Arabidopsis thaliana: one gene and its partners. The protein of the gene in region 1 purifies or fractionates together with the protein of each later gene. This does not show direct contact. Each region holds a gene or a part of one and is shown on either strand. Other genes may lie near its edges.

The links. Proteins that work in one complex are often made in the same cells at the same time.
Region 2: the proteins of CRLK1 (region 1) and PAPP2C purify together in Arabidopsis thaliana (affinity purification with mass spectrometry, with the first as the bait; one study listed by BioGRID). This does not show direct contact.
Region 3: the proteins of CRLK1 (region 1) and CAM2 purify together in Arabidopsis thaliana (affinity purification with mass spectrometry, with the first as the bait; one study listed by BioGRID). This does not show direct contact.

What each region holds. Positions count from the first base shown.
Region 1 is NC_003076.8:22,176,309-22,184,885, reverse strand, and holds CRLK1 (Protein kinase superfamily protein), read right to left. Parts: upstream 5,187-8,577; 5' UTR 4,993-5,186; intron 4,956-4,992; exon of another isoform or gene 4,450-4,955; 5' UTR 4,407-4,449; coding exon 4,090-4,406; intron 3,865-4,089; coding exon 3,711-3,864; intron 3,482-3,710; coding exon 3,355-3,481; intron 3,174-3,354; coding exon 3,088-3,173; coding exon of another isoform or gene 3,002-3,087; coding exon 2,930-3,001; intron 2,849-2,929; coding exon 2,645-2,848; intron 2,551-2,644; coding exon 2,188-2,550; 3' UTR 2,058-2,187; downstream 1-2,057. Other genes in the region: ANK (ankyrin), read left to right, coding at 1-105; RPL24 (Translation protein SH3-like family protein), read right to left, coding at 483-695, 784-1,014, 1,188-1,226, 1,727-1,840; AT5G54585 (uncharacterized protein), read right to left, coding at 8,377-8,434. UniProt on the Arabidopsis thaliana protein: Required for cold tolerance, via the activation of MAP kinases activity. Phosphorylates and activates MEKK1 in response to cold in a calcium-dependent manner.
Region 2 is NC_003070.9:7,869,689-7,877,374, forward strand, and holds PAPP2C (phytochrome-associated protein phosphatase type 2C), read left to right. Parts: upstream 1-4,178; 5' UTR 4,179-4,383; intron 4,384-4,465; 5' UTR 4,466-4,547; coding exon 4,548-4,583; intron 4,584-4,714; coding exon 4,715-4,972; intron 4,973-5,042; coding exon 5,043-5,319; coding exon of another isoform or gene 5,320-5,366; exon of another isoform or gene 5,367-5,412; coding exon 5,413-5,567; intron 5,568-5,670; coding exon 5,671-5,808; 3' UTR 5,809-6,143; downstream 6,144-7,686. Other genes in the region: ZYP1b (Myosin heavy chain-related protein), read left to right, coding at 1-94, 218-286, 360-470, 771-878, 963-1,073, 1,142-1,228, 1,374-1,445, 1,562-1,642 and 3 more; AT1G22290 (14-3-3 family protein), read right to left, coding at 7,142-7,209, 7,286-7,338, 7,435-7,511, 7,619-7,685. UniProt on the Arabidopsis thaliana protein: Involved in the regulation of phytochrome signaling. May regulate phytochrome-interacting factor 3 (PIF3) through the dephosphorylation of phytochrome.
Region 3 is NC_003071.7:17,135,991-17,142,936, forward strand, and holds CAM2 (calmodulin 2), read left to right. Parts: upstream 1-4,238; 5' UTR 4,239-4,388; coding exon 4,389-4,500; exon of another isoform or gene 4,501-4,828; coding exon 4,829-5,202; 3' UTR 5,203-5,403; downstream 5,404-6,946. Other genes in the region: AT2G41090 (Calcium-binding EF-hand family protein), read left to right, coding at 12-372, 490-628; TCH3 (Calcium-binding EF hand family protein), read left to right, coding at 2,141-2,216, 2,317-2,583, 2,684-2,953, 3,055-3,416; AT2G41105 (uncharacterized protein), read right to left, coding at 2,461-2,496, 2,941-3,015, 3,065-3,169; AT2G41120 (DUF309 domain protein), read right to left, coding at 5,464-5,711, 5,806-5,953, 6,040-6,429. UniProt on the Arabidopsis thaliana protein: Calmodulin mediates the control of a large number of enzymes, ion channels and other proteins by Ca(2+). Among the enzymes to be stimulated by the calmodulin-Ca(2+) complex are a number of protein kinases and phosphatases.

The DNA.
Region 1 (8,577 bases):
GTGTATCTACTGGTATTATATGTAAAGTGGAAACGGTGTACGCAGATGAAGGTACGCAAACCCAAAAGCGACCTGATTTCTGACAACTTCAAGAACATGGTTTAACCATTTTGAAGCGTTTGCACTTTGTTCCCTCGAAACTTTGTTTGCTTTAACTTTGTAACGTGCACTCATTTTAAAGATTGTATCTTTTGAATAAATTACTGTAGGTGCTTAAGGTTATGGCGGAGTCATTAATATGTTTAGTTTTTGGTTCAGTTTATTTGATAGGCCGGTCTAACATTGTCAATAACGATCAATATTGATATAGACAAGACTCAAGAGTACCCGGCTTTAGTTCGATTAATATGTTAAATCATGCTAAGAGGTGTTCATGAGGGGAGCAGAAATATTATAATTTACCTTAAAAGGGATTCAATACATCCATCCAATGCATAGGTCTATTATATCAAAAGTGCACTGAAGAAGAAAGAAATGAGACGCTAAGATGCGGAGGTAACTGCAACTTGGGTGGTTTCCTTATCCTTAGCCTCCTTAAGTAGCTTCCACTTCTCAATGGTGTCGATGAGTTCCCCTGTTTTGATCAGATATCTTACCTTCTGTCCATCTTCAAGTACCTTGTGACCCACCCGGCTTACTACGTCTTTTTCTTTTGAATACAACATCACATTTGAGCTGTGGATAGGTGCTTCTATCTGGAAAGCATAATACATTTCGCACAATCTTCAATCATCACTCCAATCTTGCAAAGTAAAGGAAAGCTACAAAACTATGATTTCTGACCTTGACAATTTGACCAGGCTCTCCCTCTTCTCGGCTCTTCATGTGTTTTGTTTTGAGGTTCACATCTTTGATCACAATGGTACTGTTGTGAGTGAAAATCTTAGTAACCTCTCCGATTTTACCCTTGTCGCGTCCAGATATTACTTTGACTGTATCTCCAAACTTGACATGCATTTTGTGGAGAATCGGAAGACTGTTTGGTTTGCATTCTTTTCGTTCCCAACGCTTGAGCTGAAAACGCAAAACACATAAATCATCTTCCAATCTCATTGTTTCAAAAGAATCTATCAACAGTTTTCCTTTTTGCTTTTGATGTGTACAAAATCTAAAGAATTATTGTGGTTTCAAAGCTAGTATATTAACGAATAATGCAGAATGTTAATGTAATGGATCTGTGGACTAACCTTTGCAAGAACAAGACATGGGTTCTCAGCGGGCTTGACCTGCAATGAGTATAAAATAATCAGCAGAGTAACAAAGAAACCATATCCTATTGCAGCTATTTTGCATTTCATAAGAAAATGCAAAAAATCACAACCAAATGAACAAGATAGCCACTTTACTCAATGTGAGCCATCACACGCACATTTTCGTTCGTTTAAAAAGTATAGCATTTACAAGTACTAGTCCATTGATTCCAAACCAATAACTAGTCAATCAGTCTAAAGGATGACGTTTTAAGTCCTCATAACTTTCATCTCAATTCAGTAGTTACACTTAAACATAGACAATGCACAAAATTTTATATCCCAGTAAGCAAAATTCAAACTTAAAATGAGCAACAACACAGATTCAATTTGAGAGTTACTTGATGAAATGGGTTTGGATATGAAAAGCGAAGACATGAACCTAATCTATTACGCAAACAAGTGAACTACATAACCTAAAAGCTTGAACAATGATTAAAAACCTGAATTGACCAGAAATCGAAAATTAAAGTTACCGGAGAAGTGACGGAGAGGGAAATCGGGGAAATTAAACGCTGGCCGAGGAAGGAAGAGCTGGGAGATAGAGAAAGAGAAGTAAAAGAGCTCTGAAGAGCAGACATGGTTGCCATTTTTTCTCGCTCTGCAACTTTCACTCTTCTTCTTTTTCCTTCGTCCTATCCGTTCCACAGATGACGATAAAAATTGGATAAACGATTAAACGACACTGTATTATCACTAAACCTTAATGGGCTAGGCTAGGTTTTAATTGGGCCTTGAATTCAATTCTTTTCATAGCCCAAATATATAATATGGTTCTCCAGTTTTGAACTCGTTTTAACACGAAAAAACAAAGAACAAATTTTCATTCACAAATATAGACAATCTAGCGTCTAAAAACCCAAAAGAATTGAAAAACAAAATCACATTTTAAAAGTTAATAATAATTAAAAAAATTGAGACTTTTTTTTCATTTTGTTTACAAAATCACGTCTTCAGCTATACTACTGTCCAAGGAATTATCCCTCCGATGAATTTCTGATCGTAATGATCCGTTTGCAGTTAACTCACCTTCTGACTCCTCCACTATCGGAGGAGGAGGAGGAAGCCGTGGAGACGGCGACGGAGAATTCTTCTGCCGCTTTCTGCAATGTCTCACTTTAATAACACGAGTCAAAACCTGAACAATGTCCCTCATGTTAGGACGTTTTCTAGGTGCACGAGAGATGCATTTGTAAGCAAAAGCTGCTACTTCATTCACTTCTTGTAAATCATATCTCCCATCTAATCTTGAATCTACTATCTCTTCCCATCCGACTTTTTCCTCTGCATTCATAGCCGCCTGTTCATCAACAACAACAAAACGTTTAGTCTTTACATGCAATTCTCCAAACAAAACAATTGGAGATTTCGAGGACTTTTTAGTTTTATGTTACCAGCTCAACCAATTCCATTAGACCTTGTTGAGGATTTCTTCCTGCTATAAGCTCGAAAAGCAAAACTCCGAAGCCATAGACATCGCTTTTCTTGGTGAATGTTCTTGTTGAAATGTATTCGGGATCGAGGTAGCCAAATGTTCCTCTGATGTTAGCTGCATGTTTGTCTACCATTTCTTCTCTGGAGAGGCCAAAGTCAGCAACCTGAAGTTAAAGAAGATCACCATTAGAAACTTGAGGTGGTTCAATAGACTGAGATTTCAAAGAGAAAGAAGATATGTTTACCCGAGCTCTCATAGATTGATCCAGCAAGATGTTGGAAGATTTGATATCTCTGTGGATTACAGGAGGAACAGCCTGGAACAATTGATTAGAACATGAGTTTTGAAGTTGTTGTTTAAGAGATGCATTAAAATGGTGAATGGTTTTAGCAAGCAGCTTACCCCATCATGAAGATACTCTAGACCACGTGCCACGTCTAAAGCAATATATACTCTCAAATCCCAGCTCAGCGGTTCATGTTTTTCGCCTGTATCAAAAGTACCATTTTAGTGCATCTCAAATCTTTACCAAGGCTCATCATTTAGTGAAGTCTAAACCATCAACTCAATAAATGTTCTACAAAGATACCGAATAGCTCAACATTGCATTAACAGTTCATTTAGTGACAAGCAGATTAATATGGTATGTATAACCAGGTAGTTACTTACTGTATAAATGAGAAGCTAAGCTTCCTTTACTCATGTAAACATATATAAGCATGTGTTGGCCTTTCTCTGCACAGTATCCAATCAAGTTCACTAGGTTACGGTGATGCAACCTTCCCAATAACATAACCTGAAAAGATTAAGGCGAGTGGATGAGTTTTTCAAGAAACTAAGCAGATACTAAGAGAGTAAGATATATAGATTGTTCATTCATGTAGCCTGTCTTATAGATGACACAACTAATAAATTGAGTATTAGAGATTTCAGAAAGCCTATTGTAATGCTTAAAAGTCTGCCTAATGCTACATGTTTTACACACTAACTTGTTCTTCGGAAATGAATCCATAGATATATCTTACCTCTGTCTGAAACTCTTTTTCGCCCTGTTTAGAATCAGTGGCTAGAACTTTCACAGCCACGATCTCACCAGTAGACATTTGAGCTTTGTAGACAGGTCCAAATGCTCCTTGGCCTATCAAAGTCGTGAAATTACACGTCGCTTTCTGCAAATCCCTGAAGCAATCACCAAAGACCATATGTCAAAAACGGAATATAACCCCAAGAATGCAAGACCTTCTCATATCCACAACAGCATTCCCCTTTTTAATGAACTTTCAAACTTTGAAATAATAACCAAAGTAACTACTATAACAAGAGAAGTCTAGTCCTGAGTATAGTTAAGACAATAAAATAATAACCTAATCAGGAAACTAAGATTTGTCAGAGGAAGAGACAAACCTGTAAGAATATTCCAAAATGCCAGAAGCAGAGATGACATTACTCCTCTTACTAAACCCTTCAAGCCAAACAGACCTCCCATTCTTAGAAGATTTCACAGGTGAATCCGGACCAATGGTCGAATCCGACATTATATTACACGAATCAGCTCCATTCTCTCTGATGGGAATGGTTGCACTTCTTCGTGATCCACTATTCACAATCTGAGACTTTTTTCTATGATACCTAAAGCAGAACAAAGCTGAGATAGCTAAGACAACACCAATCACCAAACCTAGTGAGATCCCAACGATTAATCCTTTGGATTCTCCTTCCATTGTCAAATACTCTAATAATGGTTTCAAGCTTCTTTAGACGTCTCTGCAAACAAAAAAACAATAATGGATCAGAGAAGAAGTATTTGTTAAATGGCACAATGTCAGAAGAAGAGGAAGACAACAACTAATTTGTCAAATAAGAAATTAGCGTAACGTTGACCATCGAACTCTTCAACAAAAGCTTGGCTGCCAAAATGGATTCATTCAGCTAAAAATCAATTCGTATCTTCTTCAAACAAATACCTCAAGAGGACAAAATTACTGAAGCTCTATACTATAGATCCCGAGGAAGAAGGATTTGAAAATGAATCTCGAGAATCGCGTAGACTTTTGAAACGCGCCGATTGAATAAAACCTTTCTTAATTCTCTAATTTTCCCTAATTTTCGTTGTTTAATTTTCCATTATTTCGTCTTCTTCTTCTTCCTTCAGCGCAACCAAACCCCCAAAGAAGACTTTCTCAACGAAAACAACAAAAATCCCCAGGAAGAAAAGAAAAAAAATCACACCTACTACACACAATAACGACAACAAAAAATCGCTGAAGACCAAAAAAAAAAAAAAAACAGGTGAATCGAATGTGTTACCTGGAGAAATGTGAAGGATTATAGAAAATTGGTGCATTTTAGCAGATGAATCATAAAAAAGGAAAGTTTTGAAGAGAAAAGGAGAGAAATATTTTTGCAGAGCTTTGCTTTGATTACAGAGAAAAGAATCCAAAGAATAGTGAGAAAGAGACTGAGAGAGAGGTTCTACTTCAAGCAAAAATTATCTTTTTTATTTTATTTATGTTGTAATGTGTTAGAATAAAAAAAAGTTAAAAGTTAAATATAAAATTTGTTTTTACAAATGTAACAACTTCTTATTCAAAATTAAAAGCTAAAACAATGAAACGGAAAGCTTCTTTTTTCATTTTTCTTCTTTTCTTTAATTGGTTGTTTAATTAAATTTACGTTACTACTCCTACTATAATTAGATTGTGTGATGATTTTATGTTAACAATTGATTACATAATTTTAATTTTTATGTACTATACTCTATATTACAATAAATTGTGTCTTTATATAGAAAAGAGTAACAAGCTCATGGTAATAAAATAAATCATTTTTCTACTAATTTTGAGTTTTTGACTATTGACTAAATATGATTATATTAATGTGAAAGAAATGTAAAAAAAAAAGAAAAGTGGTAGTTCAGATATCAGATAAGTAAAATAGAAAGGTGTATTTCCATATAAATAAATAAAAATTATATAAAGGAGAAATATAAATTTGTGTTGGTGTCGTGTGAATAATGGACCCCACGAATATGACTATGCTTAATATGATTGGATGAATTTATTCTTTTTAGATCGTACATTCTTATTAGTCTGACCTTTTGGTTTTCCGCGACGAATTTTCCAGGGTTTGATTACCTGTATCGCGGTCTTTGTACTTTTGGTATACCCTCGAGTATTATAAAACAATTCAATGGAGTAATTATTTTACAGATTGATGATGATACAGATTATGTTATCCACATATCAAATTCATCTTATCATTTGAGAGTTTGGAGATTAGTTATTAGTTGAGATTGATAAGATAAGATGTGGAACTATAAGTCTATAACTAGTAGTAAGCAGTTACATATATACACCTAACTTACCTAATGTCACATTCATCAAGATTATTAGTTGGAGCTAATTTTCATCCAAATAAATGAACCTAATAAGTATAAGATAAAATTTTCAAACAAAAAGTAACTGCTATAGACAAAATAAGACAATGAAATTAATTCGAGATGACATGAATTTATTGCCGAATTATCCACACCATTCTAACAGTTTCGTGAAATCAACTTTGAGTATGTTTAACTTGTTTTAAATCTACTGACATGGTTCTAGACATTTATTGATTTAAGCGATGATTAACACTAATTCGAAAATTTAGTAAAATATTGCTTACGTTGTGTGCACTAAAATGAAGATAAAACGAAGATAAAATCCCGGGATTACTGCCGCAAGTAATTCTAAATACTTGGACAAAAATATTCACCACCAGCGCACGGAACGAAACAATTTGGCACACAAATGATTGACGTAAAACGACACTTAATTCTGCTTACACTTCAATAATACTATTTTTTATATTTTAAGAGTTGAACTAGCTGCTATGTTTTTATGCTAACAAAACAACTATAAGCAATAACTAGTTGAATTGTTCATTTTACAATCCACTTGATGAAGGCAAAACAAATAACATGTTTTTAAATTTGTTAATGAGTAAAGTTCATCGGAAAACAACGTCGTGTAAAGTTGTTTTTTCAACTATATTTCTCTTTAGGATTAAAATTTACGAAATATCAAATGCAGTAGAGGTTAAAGAATTGAAAGAAAAAAACATTACAATTCACTTCTTAGATTATACAGAGTGGCTTAAGCCAAGCCAAGACAACCAAGAGAACACGTGAAGATCCTCCATGTTATTGTATTTGACCGCCTTATATGTAACAACATGTGTGAGAGAGATAATTTATATGTATACATTAATCGGATATTGTTATTTTATCGAGATTTTAATGTTTCTTTGCGTAGATTAATTATATGTTATTTTCATGAGAATAGAAAGGGAAATTAAAAGAAGAAAAGATATCTTAAATTATATTTGGGATTTTGGAGGGAAAAAAGATGAATTTGATAACTTGAGAGCAAATATTCCCCAAGTTCAAAGTTTACTTGTTCCATGGTCGCATAATCATTAAGCAAGACATGTCCTCTCCACGTGCACGGTACAACCCCACGTTCTCATGTCTCCACTCCATGTATAGAATACATAGTCGTTCGTATGTGTTGCATTTATATATTTGGAGATTTATTGATTACGAAGGAAAAAAAAGATAAGCCAACATGTGAGAATGTGATTAAAGATACAAAAAAACGCGTTAGCGACTTCTTTAGTACACTAGTAAGTAGTAATATATTAGGGTATTAGAATTTGAGAAAATTAAGGTACAAGTCTTTTCTTTGATCATGCAAACCTAATAATAAGTATATAGTCTATTTGGTTCTTCTGGATTGACGTCGAATAAGGAACTCACCAAAATAATTAAATGGGCCTTTTGCTGTTAGTCGTGCCCATAATACGGCTATATAAAATAATTCACTATAGAAACGAACTGTGACACTCACAATACACTTTCAAAATTCAAAGTCGAACAAAGATTTGGATGGAGAATAAACACATAAATCAACCACATTCAAATCAATAAGTTTGTACATGTCAATATGTTTCGAAAATCTGACATGTTTGCAAATAAACCAAAATTTTGAACGGACTATTCAAAATCAATATAATGATAACTAAATAAAACAAAATTTCCGGACTTAAATGAGTTTCTTTAAATCATACATTACATTCATTAAATAGCCAAATTTATATATTAACACTACCTAATTAAAATATTGGATGCGAGATTTTCGTTATTACCAAACATTGTAAGGCTAGCTTGCAAATATTATAAATTTGGAAAAACGATTTTCTAAATTGGCTAGTTTGCCAGTTAATGATTTTTTTTCCTTAACAACTTTGTAAATATTTGTAGTGATTGATATTTGAAACAAAGAATAAGTCGTGTTACTCTTTTCCTCGTAAATTACGAGTCGTAATACAATAATTTGTTTGTAAATCGTCATTTTCTGCAAGTTTATTCTTTATTTCCAAGAATTGAAAATAAGTTGGCATTCGATATCTATTTAAACTGTATGTTCCGTTGATTCAGTACTGTGACATAACTTAGTCATATTGCCATATTGGTATAAATGGTACTCTACGTGTTGCATAGCCCAAACTATGTTCGTTTGAGAGTTTTGCATAAGCATAAGTTTTCAGTGGTAGTAAAATCAAAGAAGTATATACATTAATGCTACATCTTTCCATTAACAATAACATATTTATCAATATATTATACACATAAACTTCACCAGAAACTTAAACTCAAAACATGAACGGAGTCGGCGAGAATGCCGGAATCACCGGTTCGAAAGCATTTCTCCTGCAAAACCCAAAAAACAATTTTAAAAACGTCAAAAACATTAGTATGCGTTATATATATAAGCCACTAGCTACATGTTCTTCTGCCATTTTGTAAACATCAATTTTCACTATTACGGTTACCTTGCGATTTACGTCTTCTTC
Region 2 (7,686 bases), on another chromosome or scaffold:
TGCAGAAGCAAAGAAGCAATATGACCTGATGCTAGAAAGTAAACAGTTGGAATTATCAAGGCACTTAAAAGAATTATCACAGAGGAATGACCAGGTATATCTGTAGCAATGTTTCCATATATTTAGTAGAATAAGAATCGTGAGGCCCTTAGCTGAATCTGAATGCAATATGCAAAGACACTAAAGCAATTAATTTATCTCTCTATGTTGTTTTTAGGCAATTAATGAGATCAGGAGGAAGTATGATGTAGAGAAGCATGAGATTATTAATTCTGAAAAGGACAAGGTATAATGACTACAGTATCTTTCGTTTTAGTCTTCTGAACAATTGATGATGTTTATTGTGGTTCTAACTCCAGGTTGAAAAAATTATCAAAGAGCTGTCCACTAAATATGATAAAGGACTCTCAGATTGCAAAGAAGAATCAAAGAGGCAACTGCTAACCATTCAAGAGGAACATTCTTCTCGGGTATGTTGGAAATGATTTATGAACTTTTTGGACAAGGCTTCTTTGCGAATCTCTAAGCTAAAGCTACCACATCTTATCATGTTACTGCATTCATGCATTGTTCCAATTGTCTGATAGCATCAATAAATTCCAAAATATCTGATGGTTCTGACCATCACCAAATGAGCTTTGAATGAATTAATCAAATCCGAAACGTTCTTGTATTTCTTGTATGCATTATCTGTTTGGAAGTTTATTTCTGACAGCATGGAAGTTAAAATTACTTTGCATATTAACTCAGAAAAGCTGCGTGTTCCCCAGATTCTCAATATTCGGGAGGAGCACGAGAGTAAGGAGCTCAATCTCAAAGCCAAGTATGACCAGGAACTGAGACAAAATCAGATTCAGGCTGAAAATGAACTGAAAGAGGTACACACAGATATAAATTCATAGCTCAAACAGATGAAAGAATAAGGAGCCTCTGGTATTCGAATATTTTGTATATTTATCCAGAGGATAACAGCTCTGAAGAGTGAGCATGATGCTCAGTTGAAAGCATTCAAGTGTCAGTATGAAGATGACTGCAAGAAGCTGCAAGAAGAATTAGATCTTCAAAGGAAAAAAGTAAGTGCTTTTTAAGATCCATTATAAGATGAATCTTTATGAGTTTAACTTATGGGCTAACCTTGCAGGAAGAGAGGCAAAGAGCTTTGGTGCAGTTACAGTGGAAGGTGATGAGTGACAATCCACCTGAGGAGCAAGAAGTAAACTCAAACAAGGTTAGATTGGACTTCATTTTCTTCCTTAATCGTTATCTATACACTTTAAGATATACAACATTCAGTTGACAATGCAAGTTCTCCTTTCTTTATTTTCATAACGTAAACAGGGTAAGAGATTGACATGGTGTTTATTACCTTGTAGGACTATTCACATTCGTCGGTCAAAGTGAAAGAATCTCGTCTTGGTGGTAATAAGAGAAGCGAGCATATAACGGTGAGGACAGAAAATTATGACGAACAGTCAGAGAATCATAAATATCTTCTTCTTCTTTTCGTTTCCGCTTCGTCAAGGCAACACATTAACACTTTCTCATGGATCATCAAACGCAGGAATCTCCTTTTGTAAAGGCAAAAGTAACATCTGTGTCAAATATATTGAAGGAAGCGACAAATCCAAAGCATCATAGCAAGGTAAACATATGAAGCTTTGCATTTTTACATTGAAATCAACCTCATTGTTTGGCTTGTGGTTCAACTTGGCAGGTAACTCATCGTGAGTATGAGGTTGAAACGAATAATGGGAGGATACCTAAACGGAGAAAAACAAGACAGACAACAATGTTTCAGGTCAGCTTGTCCATCCTGCTATATAGACATATTCAAGATATCTAACTTTACATTGTTTGGCAACAGGAGCCACAAAGACGCAGTACTAGGTTGACACCCAAATTGATGACCCCCACAATCATCGCGAAGGTAAAATACAAATACACTACTTTTAACTGATGCTTTGAAATGAACAAACCCTCACATCAGTCAACTAGTGTTGAAGCAGAGAGTAAAAAAGTAGATTTGATGATAGGAGAAAAATCATATTTTCACAAAACGTTTTATATTCATTTCGTCACACCTTCCTTAATAGTAAAATAGATTAACTGACAGACATAATGGAACAATAGGAGGTCAGACTTAGGGCTGCTTAACCAAGCTTTATGTCTATGCGAGTATAATGTAGAAGTTTTCAGGCCAAGAAGTTATGGATGATGCTAGGTTTCTAAAAACATTTCTGATTTAACTGCATATTATTCTGGTCTTTTAAGCGCAGGAAACAGCAATGGCCGATCATCCTCACTCTGCAAATATTGGAGACTTGTTTTCAGAAGGTTCCCTCAACCCATATGCTGATGATCCCTATGCATTTGATTGAAGTCTACCACACAAAGTCAGTTCCCTATCTCTCTCTCACTTTCAGATACATACTATTTGTGAAAGCTTGCTCACCGATTTACATAAACATTTTGCTGCTTGCATCAACTATCTCATTTTTATAACGTGGAATAACTATATCCTAGTGTTTCAAAAACTTGTAAATGTTGTTAAGAGAAATAATCCGCAATCTGTTTCTGATCCAGTAGCTGTCTTCAAAAAACATTGATAAAACCTTTGCATCAATCAAAAGTGTTAAATCTATTTGTCATCTTTATAGCTGTTTCTATATTTGTAGATTTGGTATACGTTGGTGTTATTAGTGGTTCATTTGCTCTTGAGGTTAACAGTTTTCTGTTGAATTATTGGCATCACAGAACACTGATTCCAAGCGGAGTGCTCTCTGAGACCTGAGAAGAATCACAAGGAAGAAAGTGGAAAGCAGTACAAATCATGTAGATCAGAAGCCATTCATATAAGCATAGAATAAAACTATCAGTATTTGTATATATATACAAACTCATACATTGTATCTAGTTTCACATTCTTGTGCTGTTGGGCTCATTAACATACAGTACCAGTACTTTACATAGTAAGAAAATGGGCTCATAAAAGGCCCACAATTGAAAATGAGTACATGATGTTCTACTGTACATGACTAGGGGCCTATGAACCTAATTTAGAGGAACATATCACGGAGGTTTAGACGAACAAGTTTATTATTTTAAGCAACAAATCGTTTGTTTTAGGCTAGCAATCAAAATTGTATGTATAAATAAGGAAGCTAAGGTAGCTAAATTGATGTGTGTTTGATTAAATAAACTAGATTAAGGGTCAAAAAGTCATGAAATGTGTGCGAATCACATTAAATGGAGAAACAAAAAGATGGCTAGTAAACGCGTCGAAGCCTTTGACCCTTTCCACTTTCTTGTCGCATTCGTTGATACTTTGAGATTTCTGGTAATGGGGAAGAGACCTGATATTTTATATTTTACTCAATTAAGCACTTCATAATTGTTCTTGAACTTTTAGTTGTATAAAGAAAATGTAAAAATTACCGCAATCGTTATGCCATCAAATCCAAAATGGATATGTTTTTCTACGAAACTGCTAATTTCATGCATTAATTTGTGTGAAAACGAAACATTCATTTACTTTTTACTTACTCATAATAATCTCTCTAAGCAAAAATGTTTTATATTTTGTAATATTAAATAAAACTCTTGCGGAATACGTCCTAATAAATATCAAAAACCAAAGGATTGTGTTTTATTTTTCTGGATATTTGTATATCAGGAATAAAATATATATGAATTTTCTAAATAGTTTCGCACATTTTTTCATGTCTGAATAGTAAAAACGCATATAAAAAAATAAAATAGGGATTGTTAAGGAGATGACATAAATGTAAAGGAAGAGGAAGTCAACATGCCAAATAGCCAAGACTAAAATTTTTAAATGGCAGCTTTTTTATTTTCTTTGACCAGATCACTCCTTTTTGCTCCATCCCTTTCTCTCTCTCCTTTTCTTCCCCTAATTTATCTTAACCTTCACCCCCAAAATTCCAAAACCTCTCACTTTTATCCCAAAGTTCCTATTGTCATATCTACACCCTCATTTTACTTTAATACAACGCAAATGTATGTTACAAATTCATCACCTAAACAAAACTACAATTTAAAGGTTAAGCAATTATTGTTACCCAAATTAAATAATCGAAATCTATTATAGTCACAATTTAAAATTCATTCATATGAGGCGTAAAGTAAATATTTATATATATGAAGGACGTTGATGCAATATTAAAAAAATACAGATAGCTTTCAATTTTTATTTTTCTTTCAACTGAATAAAAATATATATATATATATATATAATTTCGCGTAGGAAAAAGACATAAACGAAAAGAGAGCGAAGACTTCGTCGCATAGACTTTGTAGATTTATCGTTGAGAGTACCTCAAACAAAAAAAAATTGAAAACCAAATTAGGGTTTTTAATTTCCAGGTAAAAATCCCCTCTTTCTTATCATCTCCCAGCTGCTCAATGAAGATTTTAATTTCGCTTTCTGAATTTATTTTTTCTGCAGATTGTTTTGTTTATTTGAATAAATCTCCGCAAGTTTCAATTAGGTTGCAAAAATCGAAGAAATTTTCTTCGATTCAAAAAAAATGGGAAAATTTTGTTGCTTCACTTCCGCTTCTGAGGTAATGATTATCGAATTTTTGGCTATATAACAATTTCTTTTTTTTTGTTATGAGATGAAATAATTTTGTCTTAGAAGTGAAAGATCTGAGAGCTTTGTGTTTTGATTGATCTTATTGGTGTGGGTTTTTAGGTTGTGGGAGGACAATCATCATCACGATCAGGTAAAGGAAGAAGTGATGAAGGGATGATCAAGTATGGTTTTAGTCTAGTGAAAGGAAAAGCTAACCATCCAATGGAAGATTATCATGTTGCTAACTTTATCAACATCCAAGACCATGAATTGGGTCTTTTTGCTATTTATGATGGTCATATGGGTGATAGTGTCCCTGCTTACTTGCAGAAACGTCTCTTCTCCAATATCCTTAAGGAGGTAAAAACAAAAAAAAAGGTTACTGTTCTACTGTTCTTGGGTTAATGAACATGTGCATAGCTTTAAGTGTATTGTTTTTTTTATGCAGGGAGAGTTTTGGGTTGATCCTCGAAGGTCTATTGCAAAAGCTTATGAGAAGACGGACCAAGCGATTCTATCGAATAGTTCTGACTTGGGTCGTGGTGGTTCTACTGCTGTGACTGCTATATTGATTAATGGGAGAAAGTTGTGGATAGCTAATGTTGGTGATTCACGAGCTGTTCTTTCTCATGGTGGCGCTATAACGCAGATGAGTACAGATCATGAGCCTCGTACTGAAAGGTCGAGTATTGAAGATAGAGGTGGATTTGTATCCAATCTACCAGGTAAAGAACTTATTTTGAGTATTGAATGTTTAATGAAGATAGAATGATTTTGTTGACAAGGAGGATGATGTGGCTGTGATGTTTTAATAACAGGTGATGTTCCTCGGGTGAATGGTCAATTAGCTGTGTCTCGTGCTTTTGGAGATAAGGGACTTAAGACACACTTGAGTTCAGAGCCTGACATAAAAGAAGCTACTGTAGATAGCCAGACAGATGTTCTTCTCTTGGCTAGTGATGGCATCTGGAAGGTAATAATGGCTTGTTCTCTGTATATATTATTCATCTCTTGTTAAATGAGTGTTTTGAGACCATTTTTGTCTGATTGTTTTGTTGTAATGATCATGTTAATAGGTGATGACAAATGAAGAGGCAATGGAGATAGCGAGAAGAGTGAAAGATCCACAGAAAGCGGCAAAGGAATTAACAGCTGAAGCATTGAGAAGAGAGAGTAAAGACGACATATCTTGTGTCGTGGTCCGATTCAGATGACAAACTCTCTGAAAGGATACTTACGGGGAGATGGGTTCCTTATATAATAATTTCAATCAAAGATTCATCAGGACAAAAAAGCTTGTTTTCACTGGATTCGACTCTGATGATTCTGGTTCGGTTTAGGACCGGTCTAAGTTTCAATTTGTGATTAGCTGCTTCTTGCTATAGCTTATGTGCGTTCGTTGTGTAAATTGTGTGTTTTAAAGACGATAAGAAAATGAACAAAAAAGGAGTGGGGAATGGAGTTTTGTGGTGGGTGATGGGGGGTTTTGTTATTATAATTGGTTGATTTGTTATATTTAATCATCGGGATATAAATATTAGGATGTTTTTACAAATATGTGAAAGTACTTTTGGATTAGGTTTGCATATATATATGTTAACCAAAGTGTTTGCTATTTGTAAGAGATTTACATTGCCAAACAAAATAAGCAAAAGTTATCCTTATCATTGTTGTTGGTAAATGTCATTATCCTTGGAAGGATTAAAAATAAGATGGATCAGTTTACTACAATTTGGTTGTGTTTTGTTGTTATAATTCTAAGCAAAGTCTTTCAGAGATTGAGATGTTGCAAATAGTTGCAGAAATTTATCACTGAAAAGGGTTTCATTATTGAAAGACTTAGCTTAGGCGTTGAAAAACTTTCATTGTGTTTTATTTGTGGAACTGTTTGCAACTGCTATAGAGGAAGATGTACCAAGCAATTCTCGAGTTTTCTTCCTCAGTGCTCCAATGGGATTATAGTATTCATTTGGCTATAAAAAGAAAGAATGAAGAAACGTCGGTGACAAGCAATGATTCTTTAGGTATACTCCGACAAACAAAACCCCAAATGGTGTCTTATATTCTGAAATTTCAACACAGGAGAAGCAAGTTAAGTGTAAAACAGATTCCAACCCATCTTGACTCAGGATATGCATCAAGAGTCGTTTCTTTTCTCGCATAGGATTCAAGATTCAGTTCTGCAATGGTATAGTAACTCCATTAGCAATGCCAAAATGAAAAATATAATCTTCAAGTAGCTTAAATTTTGACATAACTGGCTTTTTCATACCTTTTTCTTGGGGCTCATCACCACTTTTGGATAAGAGGAAACAAAAAAAAAGTTGAGTGTATGATTTGGAAGAGAACAAGAAACTAGTATGCTAATTGGTTTCTTGCAACAAAATTTGCTTGAATTCAACAACTTGGCGTTTAAGCAATGAAAGATCCACAAAGCCGTAAATATGTTCCCAAGCATTAACATTCGAATCAAAGTTTAGGCTCCTCATAACAGTACAAGAACTAACAAAATTTCACAAAAATGGCTTATATTGATTCCAAAGGAAACTATCTATCTATCATCAGAGGAGGCAGATAGGGAAATAAAAAGATTACCTCCTCTCTTTCTGTGAGGTCTAAAGTCCACATGTTGAGATTGTCTCTGAGTAGCTGTATAATAAGAGTCATGTCCTTGTTTGATTCATCACTTACTGTCAAATTCATTAATTGCATCATCGAACGCTTGCTTTGCCAATTGGTATGCACTGTACAACACACAGTTTCACTGATTCAGACTGTTAGTAAGTAACACCACACCGATTTCATTAAATAATCATATGTATGCATGTAAGCAAAGGAACCTTTCAGGAGAGTTTAAGAAAACAGAAGTCCAATTCAAAGTCATGTATAGCTGGAACTGTTGGTACCAAACCAGTCTCTGCAGCAGTAACAACAACCAACATTGCCATTACCAAAACACAAAACATATTGTTCAGTTTATTTTGTTCCGAGCTCAAGGCACAAAAACAAACATGAGCCAAGGACCTTATATGCATCAAGAGACTGATCAGTAGCTTCCTTGCTTTCAGCATTAGAACTGAAGTCTGCCAGCC
Region 3 (6,946 bases), on another chromosome or scaffold:
ACTTCTTGTAGGTCACATTACCACAGAGGAGTTCGGTGCCGTGATGCGTTCCCTCGGTTTAAACCTGACCCAAGCTGAGCTTCAGGAGGAGATCAACGATTCGGATTTAGATGGTGACGGAACCATCAATTTCACTGAGTTCTTGTGCGCAATGGCTAAGGACACTTACTCTGAGAAAGACCTCAAGAAAGATTTCAGACTCTTTGACATAGACAAGAATGGTTTCATCTCAGCTGCTGAAATGAGATATGTGAGGACTATCCTCCGGTGGAAGCAAACTGATGAAGAAATCGATGAGATTATCAAGGCAGCTGATGTTGATGGTGATGGTCAGATCAACTACAGAGAGTTTGCCAGGCTTATGATGGCCAAGTGAGATTTAAACAACTTTTCCGCTTCCCCTTTTTTTACTACCTCTTATCTAATTTCATAAAGAATGTTCCTCTCTTGTTCTTAAATTTCATTCTGAGTTCTTGTGTGTATGGCTAGGAATCAAGGTCATGATACTAAATATGACACAACTGGTGGCACTTTGGAGAGGGACTTGGCGGCCGGGGTTGCCAAAAATATCATCGCAGCGCCAATGACCGACTTCATCAAAAATTTGTTCGAAGCGTTGTTTTCTTGAAATGGTACATCAGTAACTTTATGCCATTAGGGTCTGGCTGGTATGTTAGATCTCTCTAAAAAGGCGTTTGATCTTTGAAAATAATTTCTATGTAATAAATTTATTGTGTTACCATCTTTTCTTGCATGCAATTTATTAAAATGAGTTTGTAATATGGTTTCAGTATCGAATATAATTGGGGTATCAATGTATCTTTTGAGAAAAACATTTAAAACGTAGCAGAACTAATTATTGAAAACTGGTAGCATTACTAAAAATTGATCTAAATCGGTTAATGATTTGGCACATACAGTGATCAAATCAGCTAAGCCTCATATCTCACCGTCCCAGAGTTCTTCAAGACTCTTATAAGGACTCATCTAATGAATAATGACATGCCTCGCACCAACCTGCCCTGCAACATTGAAAACACACGTCTACAATTTCGATAACCCAAGTGTTTTGAGCAAAACAAAGGACGCCCTTTGACCCATTTGGACTACAATGTGTGGAAAATTACTGCATGTTCAATATCAGAAAACTTGGATAACATGTCTTCGATATGGGCTTTTCTTATTTTGTACCCGTGTAATTTCGCTGGCCCAAAATCCAAAGCAACAAGGGTAAATTTGTATGCAGTACATGTGGCATGTTGGGTCATATGGAAACAGGTCACAAGACTCAGATTCTTTACATTGCGGCGGGTAGTAGTAGCTTTCTAGTCTACCTTGAGATTGCCCCTGCCCGTGATTCTTGAGTCGGGCACAGGAAGTGGTTTTCTGTCAACTTTACTTGCTCAAGCCATCCCCGCAAGGTAGAAACTTCTGTGGTCTTTCTCGTTATTTCTTATGTACCATGTTTTTGGTCGTTTGTGTAGTTTCTTCTAACCTTCCACACACTTGTCTTGCGAATTCCTTCCACAGCAGAGATGTTAAATCAGGAATATTCAGGATGTAGAAACTTCTCTGCTCTTTCTCAAGTAGAATGCACTTGTGGAATCCCTCAGATCAGATTTCATTGGTAACGTTCGTTAACTTCAACAACAACACTTTACTAAACATGTGCTAATCAATTGTCATACGCTTGTATTTCTTCGATTCATTTTTATCTTATGCAAGTGTTTTCTCTATTATGATTTATTTAGTTTTGCATAAATAAGGACACTCCTTCGGAGTCAGTATAAGAAAACTATAACCTAAAATATAAATTAGGCAAATGTCCACTCACCCATCCAAAATTCCATTGTAAATAAATGTTTCTTTCAAATAAATGAAAAAAAAAAAAAAAAACAAGTTGGAAGAAGGAACCAACCAAGTAATTGCCAGTCAAAGGAGGCGACTCACACTTGAAAGGATAAGCTGACATGGCAGACAACGATCCTGCGTAGAAATTGCGTGAACGTGGAAAAGTTTGAGGATATAGCCGTCATTTCAAATAATTCGGGTACTATTATATAAGGCTTCAAGTCCTGGTTCGTAGTACAAATTGTCTCACAAACTCTTCTTTCAGTCATCACAGAAAACAAAAAAAACAATGGCGGATAAGCTCACTGACGATCAGATTACAGAATACAGGGAATCTTTCAGGTTATTCGACAAGAATGGTGATGGTATGGTTCATCAACTCTTTCCATTTAATCGTAATGTTGGATCATGATCATCTTCAAAGCAATGAAATGACTAACACAAGTCCTTGATTACTTTTTGTAGGTTCCATTACGAAAAAGGAGCTCGGTACCATGATGCGTTCAATCGGTGAAAAACCGACAAAAGCTGATCTTCAGGACTTGATGAACGAAGCGGATTTAGATGGTGATGGAACCATCGATTTCCCTGAGTTCTTGTGCGTAATGGCTAAGAATCAAGGTCATGATCAAGCGCCGCGTCACACTAAAAAAACAATGGCGGATAAGCTCACTGACGATCAGATTACAGAGTACAGGGAATCTTTCAGGTTATTCGACAAGAATGGTGATGGTATGGTTCATCAACTCTTTCCATTTAATCGTAATGTTGGATCATGATCATCTTCAAAGCAATGAAATGACTAACACTAGTCCTTGATTACTTTTTGTAGGTTCCATTACGAAAAAGGAGCTCCGTACCGTGATGTTTTCCCTCGGTAAAAACCGGACAAAAGCTGATCTTCAGGACATGATGAACGAAGTGGATTTAGATGGTGATGGAACCATCGATTTCCCTGAGTTCTTGTACCTAATGGCTAAGAATCAAGGTCATGATCAAGCGCCGCGTCACACTAAAAAAACAATGGTGGATTATCAGCTCACTGACGATCAGATCTTAGAATTCAGGGAAGCCTTCCGCGTATTCGACAAGAATGGTGATGGTATGGTTCATCGTCCCTTTCTCGCTAATCGTACATATTGGATCCTGATCATCTTCAAAGCACTGAAATGACTAACATAAGTCATTGCTTACTTTTTGTAGGTTACATTACCGTGAATGAGCTCCGTACTACTATGCGCTCCCTTGGTGAAACCCAAACAAAAGCTGAGCTCCAGGACATGATCAACGAAGCGGATGCAGATGGTGACGGAACCATCAGTTTCTCTGAGTTTGTGTGTGTAATGACTGGTAAAATGATTGACACTCAGTCTAAGAAAGAAACGTACAGAGTTGTGAATCAAGGTCAGGGTCAAGTGCAGCGTCACACTAGAAATGACAGAGCTGGTGGCACCAATTGGGAGAGGGACATAGCGGTCGGGGTTGCCAGCAATATCATCGCTTCGCCAATTTCCGACTTCATGAAAGATAGGTTTAAAGATTTGTTCGAAGCGCTGTTATCTTGAAATGACACGTCAGTAACTTTATGCCAATAGGGTCTGACAATTATGTTAGATCTCTCTCAAAAGGCGTTTCATCTAATGACAATAATTTCTATGTAATAAATTTATTGCATGTGTTAGTGTGTTACCATCTTCAGTTGTGTGCAATTTATTAAAATGAGTTTGTAATATGGTTTCAGTATCGAATATAATTGGGGTATTAATGTATCTTTTGAGAAAAACATTGAAACGTAGCAGAACTAATCATTGAAAACTGGTAGCTCACTACTAAAAATTGATCTAATATGATAAATCGGTTAATGATCTGGCACATACAGTGATCAAATCAGCTAAGCCTCATATCTTACCATGTTAATCAATTGTCATAAGCATGTATTTCTTCGATTTGTTTTTATCCGATGCAAATTTTTGCTTTGTGATTGTTATTGCAGAAACAAGGACGTTCGATGCACTTCCAAAAAACATATAATGTTACAGACAATGTAGTATTAAAAAGTAGTAGTTAAAAGCAAAATCTTTAATAATTTAGACAAATGTAGCGACAGCTCCACTTACCATCCAAACGAATACTTCACAATTGATAATTCTAATAAATGTTTTTTTTTAAAAAAGACAGCATTTAACAATAACGAGAAAACAAATACTAACGAATTGGAACCAGAAACCAACGAACCAAGGAAAATCAAAGGAGGCGACTCACTGGAAAGGAAAAGGTGAGATGGCAAAGTCAACGATCCGCGTAGAAACCGCGTGAACGTGTGATCCATCTCTTCTCATGTCAACCTGGCGCTTAAATTTAAAACTCAAATTTATGGCATTCTCGTAATTTCATCCCCAAACCGAGGTCCTTCCCGACATTAACAATAATCCAGGTAAATAAAACGCCTCAAGTCCGCATTCGTAGCACACGAATCGTCTCACAAACTCTTTCGTTTTTCCCTTTTTCTCCAATCACAGAAAAGAAAAGAAAAAACAATGGCGGATCAGCTCACAGACGATCAGATCTCAGAATTCAAGGAAGCCTTCAGCTTATTCGACAAGGATGGTGATGGTATGCTTCATCCTCCCTTTCCCTCTATCATCGTAGGTCTTGGCCGTATAATTCTGATTTAGTTTCTGCTTGATTTGGTTCCCTTTTGATATGTATCGATTACCGTGGTGACGGATCCATTGTTCGTATCCTCGCATTGACTCTTTTCGTTTTCGATGTTCCAAATCATTATTGAATTCAAGGATTTGTTTGTGCCTTTGTTCAAATTAAAGATCTATGTAGTTCGGATGAAATATTTGTGAATCAGCCCTGTGGTGTTAGTGATGATTCATGTTTTCAATTCGTATTTTGACCAGTTTTTATTGATTTGTTCTGATTCTGGATTTGCATCGTAGTAACACCAATCTTTGATTACTTTGTGTAGGTTGCATTACCACAAAGGAGCTTGGTACCGTGATGCGTTCCCTCGGTCAAAACCCAACCGAAGCTGAGCTTCAGGACATGATCAACGAAGTTGATGCGGATGGTAACGGAACCATTGATTTCCCGGAGTTCTTGAACCTAATGGCTAGGAAAATGAAGGACACTGACTCTGAGGAAGAACTCAAGGAAGCTTTCAGAGTTTTCGACAAAGACCAGAACGGTTTCATCTCAGCTGCTGAATTGAGACATGTGATGACTAACCTCGGCGAGAAGCTTACTGATGAAGAAGTTGATGAGATGATTAAGGAAGCTGATGTTGATGGTGATGGTCAGATCAACTACGAAGAGTTTGTGAAGGTTATGATGGCTAAGTGAGGATTGAAACAACTTCTTCGGCTTTCTCCTTTTTTTTTTTTGACTACCTTCTTATGTAATTTCATAAAGAATGTTCCTTCGCTTTGTTCTAAAATTTCATTCATGGCTGGTTTTTGCTGGTTAAAAAGACAGGAATGTTATGTGTTTTTACCTTTTGTCTAAATGACTCATTGTTCATGTTATTGACAGGTTCAGAACCTGATTCTTGAAATATAACAGTAATGAGATCTTCTTCTATTATCTTCGTATTGATCATTCTCTTTAGAATCTGTCGTCGTATGTAGAAGCAAGAAGATGCTTATCGGTTGCGGTAAGGGTAGGGAGCTTAACCCGAGTTGGCTCAGACGATGAATGTAAAGGAGAGAAGAGTATAGAAGTTGTCTCAGACATTCCATTGTTGAAGTCAAGCACAGTCTCTAAGCTGTAAATACTCTCTCCAGCTGCATAACCACCTAAGAGTTGATACGATCTGTCTGATTGATCCATCGTCAAACACATATCTTCTGAACCTATCATCAATCAATTCAGATTTCTTGAGTGTCACAATTAGGTTCAATTTGCTAAATGGTTTCCTCAATCAAAAATTCAAAATTCAAAACTTACAGGCAGCAAGTTCAAGCTGAGTTTGATAAACGAATTCAAGAACTGCGGAGACATCTCGCTCGAATTCATGAAACGGTCCGTCTTCGAAATTCATCTTCCTTAGCTTACATACTCCTTCTCCTAACTCCATCATCGCTCCTTTATGGTTCTTCAAATCCCAAAACACTCACTAAAATTACCTCAAACGTGAACGAAAACGAGCAATAGATGGAGTTAAAAGGAGAGTAGATTTACGTTGTTGAATAGATGGTGAAATCCAACAGCACATTGAAGAATTCCATGGATTAAGGTACGAGTTGGTTCCTCTGCTTGAATCCAAAGAGCTTCAAGCGCGTCATGACTTTTGTAATAATCCCTCTTGTTGAAGAGAGTCACTGCTTCCTCAAAGCTCCAATATTCTTCCTTATCCTCGTCACTATCCTCTTCGTCTTCTCCGGCGTGGTCGTTGTATCTGACGATTGATCTTCGACTGAAACGGACGCGTATGGAGCTAAATTTTGTGGAGGCTCGAATCGTTGAAGCAGTAACAGAGATTGGAGAAGAAGGGATTAAGGAGCTGAAGAAAGAAGATGGAGGAAGCGTGAAAGATGAAGGAACCTGGAAATGTTTCGAAGAAACTGCCATTATCAAAGTCAAAGGTCGAGCTCTGTCTCTACTGCATGGTTCTGGCTTGCGCCAGTTTTGTGGTCACCGTTTTACCAAAACTTTGTAATTGGGCCACTATTTGGGTCCTTATTTTTTATATAATTTAGGCCCATATTTTATGGCGAAGCCTTCCTCATATCATATGGTTGTCTCATTCGTAAATTATTTTTCTGCAGTAGCTTTCTCTTATGATTATCAAATTTGTTGATTATTTAGGGCTTTTATGTTGTCAAAAAAAAAAAATTAGGGCTTTTGAATACTCAAGTTTTTCCAGACATTAAGTTAAAACAAATACTGTATATTATTTAATTTTTGTTAAATAACAAATTTATGTTATCGCATTGCACTGTGTGAGATTTATCCGGACAAAACACAATGATAGAAGCAGCATAAATCATATCAGGATATGCCTTTTATTGTTTATCTTTAATACCTTAGAAATGGTATCTTATCATAATAACTTAAAGGATCATTATTATGGTAGTGGTAAAACATC